Linked DNA regions of Arabidopsis thaliana. The protein of the gene in region 1 interacts with the protein of each later gene in a biochemical or structural test. Each region holds a gene or a part of one and is shown in the gene's direction. Other genes may lie near its edges.

The links. The genes of interacting proteins can lie anywhere in the genome.
Region 2: the proteins of JAR1 (region 1) and FIP1 form a complex in vitro, tested with the Arabidopsis thaliana proteins (one study listed by BioGRID).

What each region holds. Positions count from the first base shown.
Region 1 is NC_003071.7:19,032,008-19,036,952, forward strand, and holds JAR1 (Auxin-responsive GH3 family protein), read left to right. Parts: upstream 1-1,733; 5' UTR 1,734-2,225; coding exon 2,226-2,257; intron 2,258-2,333; coding exon 2,334-2,633; intron 2,634-2,700; coding exon 2,701-2,802; intron 2,803-2,948; coding exon 2,949-3,736; intron 3,737-3,823; coding exon 3,824-4,362; 3' UTR 4,363-4,438; downstream 4,439-4,945. UniProt on the Arabidopsis thaliana protein: Catalyzes the synthesis of jasmonates-amino acid conjugates by adenylation; can use Ile and, in vitro at least, Val, Leu and Phe as conjugating amino acids on jasmonic acid (JA) and 9,10-dihydro-JA substrates, and to a lower extent, on 3-oxo-2-(2Z-pentenyl)-cyclopentane-1-butyric acid (OPC-4) and 12-hydroxy-JA (12-OH-JA).
Region 2 is NC_003070.9:9,849,320-9,854,104, reverse strand, and holds FIP1 (FH interacting protein 1), read left to right. Parts: upstream 1-1,655; 5' UTR 1,656-1,804; coding exon 1,805-2,030; intron 2,031-2,115; coding exon 2,116-2,217; intron 2,218-2,629; coding exon 2,630-2,901; intron 2,902-3,530; coding exon 3,531-3,710; 3' UTR 3,711-3,720; exon of another isoform or gene 3,721-3,972; 3' UTR 3,973-4,261; downstream 4,262-4,785.

The sequences.
Region 1 (4,945 bases):
TAAATTTAAGTTTTTTTTAGTCCGAAATTAAAGTTAGAATATTAAATTAATTTCCACACACAATCGTTTTTCTTAGTTATTTTACAACTAGCTAGTATAAACGATAACCAAAATGGATGACATCAAAATAATTAATTAGGCCAAAAATAATAATATCAGCAGTCAATAATAAAATTGTGTATGCATGTGTCATGGTACCATTGTTTCTTAAGCTCAAAACATTTATGATGAGCATGGAGGAATATGTGATTTATGTTGACTTGTCATGCATGTATACAATTTATAGCTTCTTCAGTCAACAAAAAAAATTGAAAATGTTAACTTCTCTAAAAGGAGCTTTTCCACAGATTTCAATCAGTTCATGATTTTCTCGATATAAAGTAGGCATGAAATTGACGAATGAAAATGTATGAATTGAAGAAACTATATAATGAAAAACAAGAATCATCAATAAAAATCAAATGTTTCTTACATAGTTTTTTTTTCTTCTTCAAGGAAATCAACTATGTTTTGTTTTTTTATACAATCAGATCATTAGATTAATCGTATGTTTTTGTAACTTAACTTATGTTGATCAGCTTCATTAAAATGAGAGTTTATTCTTGTAAACAAAAAAGTTAGTTGTGATGACTAATATGCGTTTCCGAAACGAAACCCTAAACCCTGCAATAGAAAAGGGATTGTTGAACTTAATTTGTTTTGTGCACGAGAAGATGGATGAAACAGAATTGTTAACCAAAAATCTTATGAACCTAATTCCAAAAATCTTATGAACCTCACAGACTTTGAGAATCGTTTAAATGACTAATGTAAAGATGTGCAAGCAACTGATATGAAGAATTGTTAACCATATATTGTGATATCTCATATTTGTATATATATTTGATATATACAAATATGTTTGTTCCAAATTTTGTTACAAACTACACAGCCAAATATAAGAAGCTATCAAATATTATTTCTTTAGCAAGTTTGAATTAATCAAACGCAGGTCATTATAAATTAAATCATAACAGGTGGTATAAAAACAACGTATTTTGTTAAATTTAAGTGATTGTAGTCTTAGAATTATATATAGGTCTTTTGTTAGAGATGAATAGTTGATTTCTGATGTATTTCCTAGTATTACATCATTAACGCAATGACCATATATAATGATATAGACAACGATGACAGAGAGGTGACTAAGTTAACATGTTATGATCCTCGTCTGAATAAACTAGAAGACTAGCCGCATGAAAATTCTTAGTTAACAAAAAATGATGTTGTCTATATGTATATCTACTACTAATATCATGAACCCAAATTACTCAAGAATTAAAGAAATAATATTCCTAACACAAGTTGGCTTTTCGTAAACTAAACTTACGGTATTGTTTTATGCATCGATCATAATGAATATTTTAAAACACTAAAACATGGTTAAAAAAAAAAGTAATCCACATGCGATTGTTTTGGATTGGTCCTTTTAAATAAACTAAAGTTTTGGCAGAGAGGAACCAAGTAAAAATGGGCATTATCTAAGAATGGTCCTAATTCCAAGAAGATATTACACTCTTTTACAGATTGGACCCAAACACTCATGTGAAGATGAAAAAATAAACTAAGAATACAAAAAGAAGAAAATAAAAGAAAAAATCAGAGATCCCGTCGGAGAAAGAAAAAGAGAAGATAGAGAGATACAAGTAACGGCTTCCACTAATCTTTCGCCTTCTACATTTTTGCTGCTCCGTCCAATTTTTGTGTCTATAAAATAAGACAGCTTCTTTCTCTTGACTTTCCAAATTCACTCAACTTTCTCTCACTCCTTTTTTCTCTCTCTCTCTCTATCCTCTACAGAGCTCGCAGCAACTAGCGCAGGTACTCTCTCTTTCTCACTCCTTAATCTAGATACTAAAGCTGATCATTTTCATATCTCTCAGTAATCCGTTTCGTCTGATCGGGTAAAACACACTTCCAATTACTCCGGTTCCGACCTCGTTGACTTTTTCTTCAGATAGATTCCAAAAAAGTTCTCATCTTTACTTGTTCAATCTCATAGATTCCGATTTGGGTCTGATTGTTACCTCTCCACAACTATTGGGTTCCTCTCAAAACCCTTCGATTTCTTGATCCATCCTTCCTTAATTTTCGATTCTCGAAAACCGTTTTCACAACTTTTTTTTATAAAAAAAAAAATCTGCAAAAAGATCTCTCTGATAAGAATTTTTAAAAACTTTCCCTTTATGGATGCTCTGAAACATAAAAGAGCTTTTAAGTTTATACCTTCCCTTATATTCTCTGTTTTCAAATCTGTCAGAATCTGATCACTCTTTTCTTTTTATCTACTTCAGGATGTTGGAGAAGGTTGAAACTTTCGACATGAACAGAGTCATTGATGAATTCGATGAAATGACTAGAAACGCTCATCAAGTCCAGAAACAAACTTTGAAAGAGATTCTTCTCAAGAACCAATCCGCCATTTACTTACAAAACTGTGGTCTCAATGGAAACGCTACTGACCCTGAAGAAGCTTTCAAATCTATGGTTCCTTTAGTCACTGATGTTGAATTAGAGCCTTACATCAAAAGAATGGTTGATGGTGACACTTCACCTATTCTCACTGGTCACCCTGTTCCTGCCATTTCCTTAAGGTAACTTCCTCTTTTTGCTTTATCATTGATGATTCTGTTTCTCAGTGTGTGTGTTTTTGATCATCAGCTCTGGAACTAGTCAAGGCCGTCCAAAGTTTATTCCTTTCACTGATGAATTAATGGAGAACACATTGCAACTGTTTCGCACTGCTTTTGCCTTCAGAAACAGGTATAGTTTAAATTTGTGTTTATGTTTCCCCCACACACATTTCACACTTTTCTCTGTTCCATCCATTGACATGAACAGAGAAACTAGTGATGTTGTTACTTACCACCGACTATGCCTTAACATGTGATGTTTTTCTTCTTGTACAGAGATTTTCCCATTGATGACAATGGCAAAGCTTTGCAATTTATCTTCAGCAGCAAGCAGTACATATCAACGGGAGGTGTCCCGGTTGGAACCGCAACCACAAACGTGTACCGCAACCCTAACTTCAAAGCTGGGATGAAATCTATAACGTCTCCTTCCTGTAGTCCCGACGAAGTTATCTTTAGTCCTGATGTCCATCAAGCCTTGTATTGCCATCTCTTATCCGGAATTCTCTTCAGAGATCAAGTTCAATACGTCTTTGCCGTCTTTGCTCACGGTCTAGTTCACGCTTTTAGAACCTTTGAACAGGTTTGGGAAGAGATTGTTACCGATATCAAAGATGGTGTCTTAAGCAACCGTATTACTGTCCCATCGGTCCGTACTGCAATGTCGAAGCTGCTCACACCTAACCCTGAGCTAGCTGAGACGATCCGCACCAAATGTATGAGTTTGAGCAACTGGTACGGATTGATTCCCGCGCTCTTCCCCAACGCAAAGTATGTTTACGGGATCATGACTGGCTCCATGGAGCCGTATGTGCCAAAGCTGAGACATTACGCGGGTGATCTACCTCTTGTGAGCCATGACTACGGTAGCTCGGAAGGATGGATTGCTGCTAATGTTACCCCAAGGTTATCTCCAGAGGAAGCTACATTTGCTGTGATTCCGAATCTCGGTTATTTCGAGTTTCTCCCTGTATCTGAAACAGGGGAAGGAGAGGAGAAACCGGTTGGTTTAACTCAAGTCAAGATTGGAGAAGAGTATGAAGTTGTCATCACAAATTACGCAGGTATTACCGTTGTTTTAAGGCTGGAATTAGCGTAGTATCGGTCTCGTAATGGATGCTTATAATTCTCATTTGATCCACATTGCACAGGGTTGTATCGATACCGGCTTGGAGATGTGGTAAAGGTCATTGGTTTCTACAACAACACTCCCCAACTAAAATTCATATGCAGGAGAAACCTGATTCTCTCGATCAACATCGACAAGAACACCGAAAGAGACCTTCAGCTTTCAGTAGAATCGGCTGCAAAGAGACTCTCAGAAGAAAAGATCGAGGTCATAGACTTCTCTAGCTACATCGATGTCTCGACAGATCCAGGACATTACGCTATCTTCTGGGAGATTTCAGGAGAAACAAACGAAGACGTTCTTCAAGATTGCTGCAACTGTTTAGACCGAGCATTCATCGATGCGGGTTACGTTAGTTCCCGGAAATGCAAGACTATTGGAGCCTTGGAGCTGAGAGTTGTCGCAAAAGGAACTTTCCGGAAGATTCAAGAACATTTTCTCGGGCTTGGTTCATCGGCTGGACAGTTTAAGATGCCAAGATGTGTGAAGCCAAGTAATGCTAAGGTTCTCCAAATTCTGTGTGAGAATGTGGTGAGTAGCTACTTCAGCACAGCGTTTTGACTCACTAAAATTGTGTGAAATCAAAGAAAGTGGTTTTTAGTTGTTTATTTCCGTCGTTGTTGTCTTTATTTGTCAATATAGTTTTCTTTACGTTATTTAATTGAGCATAAACTTTTTTTATCTTTATAGAATTTGTATCACAGTGGTTTTACTTTGCTTTTTGTGCAATTAGTGTTTGGGAAATAAATAGATTTCTGATGTGACGTTACCTTTATTATACTTGGAACAAAAAAATCAAGATTCGAATAATTGATTGTCTGTATGGAGAATAAAATTCGGATAATCTAATCTATCTCGATCTGACCTGAACCATATTGTGAAAATATTGTTTTATATTACGATATTCGAAACAATAATGTACGTGTTCGACAATTGAATTTTGGTGCTTCTCTCAAAAACAAGAAGAGATCATAAACAATTAAAAATTTAGAGATCATAAACTCTCTAAATACTTTGCCAAAACAAAAAAAAAACTCTCTAAATATAGATAGTGGTGTGATTTTGTGTGAGAAGCTATACGTGACTACGACATTATTAGTGCGACCGATGTTTATTTAGAGAGTTCTAATTACGAAAAAGTAAT
Region 2 (4,785 bases), on another chromosome or scaffold:
TGGCAATCGAATTCGACTTCGTGATAGAGATATGCACCAACAACTAAAAGATGACCTAGTTGAGCATATATGACAAAAGTTTGGTGCATTATCAAATGAAGAGTAAAACCATAATAGATAATATAGTTAGTTTTGATTTATGTTATCATGGTTTTATATGTAATTTCTGTGTAATTTATATATTTTTTCTATTTAATTTATGTTATCATGGTTTTATATGGAATTTTATGTTTAATTGATATATTTTTTATTATGATTTTATATGTAAAGTAATGTTTAATTATGTTTAATTATGTTTAATTATGGTTTTAAAAATAATAAAACTATTTAATAATATAATTGTAAAAATAATAATTGATATGTTTGAAAATATTGTAGAGATTTTAAATTTAATATAAAAAACATATAATAATATGTTAATGTTAATGAGATACTCATAAGAGTATTTCACCAATGGAAGCACAATTTTAGTATAAGTTTCTCTACTTAAATTAAAATATTAATAATATATTATGAGGTACTCATGGAGTATCTCACCAATGGAGATGCTCTTACGCATATGCTGACGAGAGACGAGAGAAGAGACGTTCGCTAAATCTTTTGCTTTCTCGCCACTACGTCCAGAGTCTCTCTCTGGTTCAGAAGACTCGAAATGGGTTAAACACGTATTCTCTCATTCTCCGTAGTTAATTAATTTAGTGAAACGGTAAAAACAAAATGGTAAAAAATTGGCGGTCGTTATTTTGTAGCGGTAAAGAAAATAGTGAGTTAGACTATTTACAAGTTAACTGTTTGAATTAAAAGTTGAAAGTGATTTGGAAAAAGATGTTGTAGAATTTCTTCAACACCGTTAATTTTGTGAATAAAATCCTTGTACACATATAGTCTTAGAAAATTTGGAAAAAGGTTTGATAAATGTAACTTAGATGCTGCTTGGATTATAAAAAGTAAGCTTTATGGATACGGACTTGAGTTCCCAAGATCATTTAGGTTCAATCTGATTTTGAGGTTTATATAAGAAGCTTCATTTAAACCGTTGAGTGTTTGAGCTATATGAAACTTCAAAAAAATGTCATTCGTTTAAATACCATCAAGAAGAATGTGAATCAACTTTTCTTTTTGGATGAAAACTAGTTTTTTGATATGGTAACTATGTTTTCAACACAACAAAATTTTATCGTCGAATGTCCGAAATGATAAAGACACTCTTAACCTTCATCGGAAAAAATAGCAATTTTTTGTGGTATATCAATAGCGGTTACAATCTAACTTGTTTTGTTGTTGTTATTATGATTAGAACTGTCAATTGGGTGGACCGCATGTGGGTTTTTACAGTCCAAATACACACGGACGGATTATGGTCTGGACTCCAAACTAAAAAACATAAACCAAGCAATCAAAAAGTTAGAATAAGATATTTTTTAGTTAAAACAAAAATCGTAAGTGAAGAAGGTCTGAATTTCTTGAGGAAGATAAACGGGCACAAAACCGGTGTACATACATGGATTATGGATATGTTCTAGAGGAAAGGTATAATTGAATACTAGTATCCGTTACAGAAACTAATTGCATTAAGTTTCGTCTACTGTTTAAGACCGCACGAGATATATATGTTAGACCGACTTTGGGAAAGAGGCTACTTAAATTATTTACGATTAATAATGCCAACGTAACGCGGACAGACATTTTAATTCAATTATTATTTGTTGCCTGCGAGATTCGAACCATCTCTTATTTCATTACTTAACCCAAACCAAAAAAATAAAAAGTTCATTTCGAAAGAAGAAGAAGAAAACATCAAATCATGAGTGGGCAAGAGAATCATGATCATGGCCGGATCTCTTCTACGCCCGCCGCCGCGTCGGAGCCTTCCAAGGCTGCTGCTCACTCCTCTGACTACGCTCCTTACCCTAAGCTCGATCCTACCGACGTCACTCCTCCTCCTCCTCAGCCTATTCCCACCGGTGCCGCCGCAACCACCATGCCAGCGGAATCCAATCCTTACGTTTCTCCTTCCCCTGCCCCAAGGAGTGAGTTCTTCTTCTCTCTATCCGATTTCGCATCCTAATCCAATTTCTGCCTTTGATTGATTGATTGATCTTGGTTTGGGGACAGATACGATGGATTCGGTGAAGGATACGTTAGGGAAATGGGGGAAAATGGCTGCCGACGCCACCAAGAAGGCGGAGGATCTCGCCGGAAATTTTTGGCAGCACTGTAAGCGCTTCTTCTTCTTCTTCTTCTTCCCCCTCGATTAGATGAATTACCAATTAATCTGATTACCGTCTCTTGGAGAATACGATGGTATTGGTTATGCCCCTTCTGGTTAAGTTAGTGTTCATCAATTGGCGCTTCTTCGGAATTTTACTTCGCGTTCAACCACCGACACTAAATCTAGCCAACAATTTTGATATTCATGCTCTTCCGTTTGAGTTTAAGCCAATTAGTTCTTTGTATCTGGTTATTGCCTTTGACTCTTGAAGCTTCTCTAGTATAGGTTGTTTTGGCTTTATTTCTCCGCTTGTGTGATGAATTAGTATTATATACATATGGTTGGAGGGAGGGATGATATTTTATATGAATTGAGACTTGAGAGTATACGTTTTGATATCTATCCTTTCTTTTTCAGTGAAAACAGGCCCAAGTGTAGCAGATGCTGCTGTTTCACGAATTGCTCAGGGGACAAAAATACTTGCAGAGGGTGGATACGAGAAGGTCTTCAAGCAAACATTTGATTGCCTTCCTGATGAAAAACTTCTCAAGACCTATGCTTGCTACTTGTCTACATCTGCTGGTCCTGTCCTGGGAGTTATGTATCTTTCGACTCACAAGCTTGCGTTCTCTAGTGACAATCCTCTCTCTTACAAAGAGGGTGAGCAGACCCTGTGGAGCTATTACAAGGTATACTCGCTCTCTATCCTATGGTTACTTTTTCTTTCTAACTCTTTTATTTTATATCTATTTACATCTAAGAAAACTATTTGAGAACAAAGATTCAGCGAATGTAATATTTGATGGTGACATGATAAAGCGTTAAGTGAGTTAAGTCATTTTCAATGCATCTATTTACATAGATTCATAGACTATAACAAATTTTCTTGTCATTTCTAGTTATTGACGTATAGAACGTAGTGTGTGTACGCTTATAGTAAATGGAAACTACATAATCATTCTAACGATATTGTTGAGTAGTTGCATGTTAGTTCCTATGTAGACAATTAGGACTTTAGTGGTTTGCCTAAGAGAGTAAGCTAAATCTTGTAGCATTCTTGATAAAACTAGGGGAGCCATTGAATAATTGTTAGTTTGAGAGTTTGGACTGGTTCTAATGTAAACATCTAACATGAGCTGAAATCCTATTAAACCAAGCAGAAAGCTTCTTGACAACATGATCTTTGGAAAACTGATTTTAAGATTTGGGTGGTTCTTGAGAACCTTTTTTCGTTCCTTGAGAACCTTGCACTTGCAGTCTATTTTCTGTCATTCTTCCTTGTAAAGTCTGTGGCTGATGATTTTGATGTGATGATCAGGTGGTACTTCCGGCGAATCAGCTGAAGGCAGTGAACCCATCAACAAGTAGAGTGAACACATCTGATAAATACATACAAGTGATTTCCATCGACAACCACGAGTTCTGGTTTATGGGGTTTGTGACTTATGAAAGCGCTGTGAAGAGCCTTCAAGAAGCGGTGCAGTCACATGGTCCGTGAAGGTCCACTGGTATAAATGGCAGCTCTTAGTGATATTGTGCATTAATATATGGAACAGTGTGTTTTAGTATTTGATACCATTTCAATGTGTTCTACATTTTGTCCTCTTGGCGTTTACTCATAAACATTGCTTTTGTTCATTTCCTTTTGTATAAAATTATTTCTTATTTTTTTTGAGGGAACCTTGTCCTTTAGATCTAACATTCATGATTTGTATTCGTGTTCTAAGTTGGATTCGGTCTTTGGTTTTTGATGAGTTTAGGATTTTAAAGGTGATCAAGTTGGGCGCTATAGACAAAACCAGCATTTAGAAAGCCCAATATATCACCGATGGGCCTTTGAAAAGAGCCCAAATCGATAATAAGCATGCATGGGAGAATTGGTGACACGGGCTCATTACAACACTTTCATCATAGAAGATCCTATGTTTAATGTGTTTAAAACAAATCTGGTATGAGTTTTGGAAGATAGTAACATTGAGTATATATGTGGAAACAAATCTAAATGGTGGGGTTTGTGCAATCGCCTAAATTGTTTTTTACTTGCATTCGTTATATGCAAATATCTAAATGATTAAAACCAAAACCAAAAATATCTAATATGATATATTAAAATATTAAGCTTCATTGTATCATTCTTACGAAGTGACCAACTTTAGAAGTTAGCGAATTGTCTGTCATTAAGCCTATTGCTCCTTGTCGTCTTATTCTTTGCTCACCAACGAGCTACGTCCTTTGAATTTCTTATTAAAGTTGTTAGCATATAAACTATGACTAGTGCCCATCAAATTTGAAGATTTAGCATTTGGACTCTTCTTGTGTTAACTGAACATGGTCAGTCTTACAATATCTATATATTCAATGGTTATCGAGTGATTGTGTCATGAAATGTTAATATAGTTGGATCTTTTAAAAAAAAATGTAAATATAGTTGAACCATATACATCCGTTGAAAACAACAACAGCAAAAACTGATAGCTCTGAACCATCTTTGTAAGAGTGTGTTTGCGACTACGGGAGTCTTGATATCAAACCGAAACCACCCTATATATGAAAAAGCTTCATAAAACCGATTT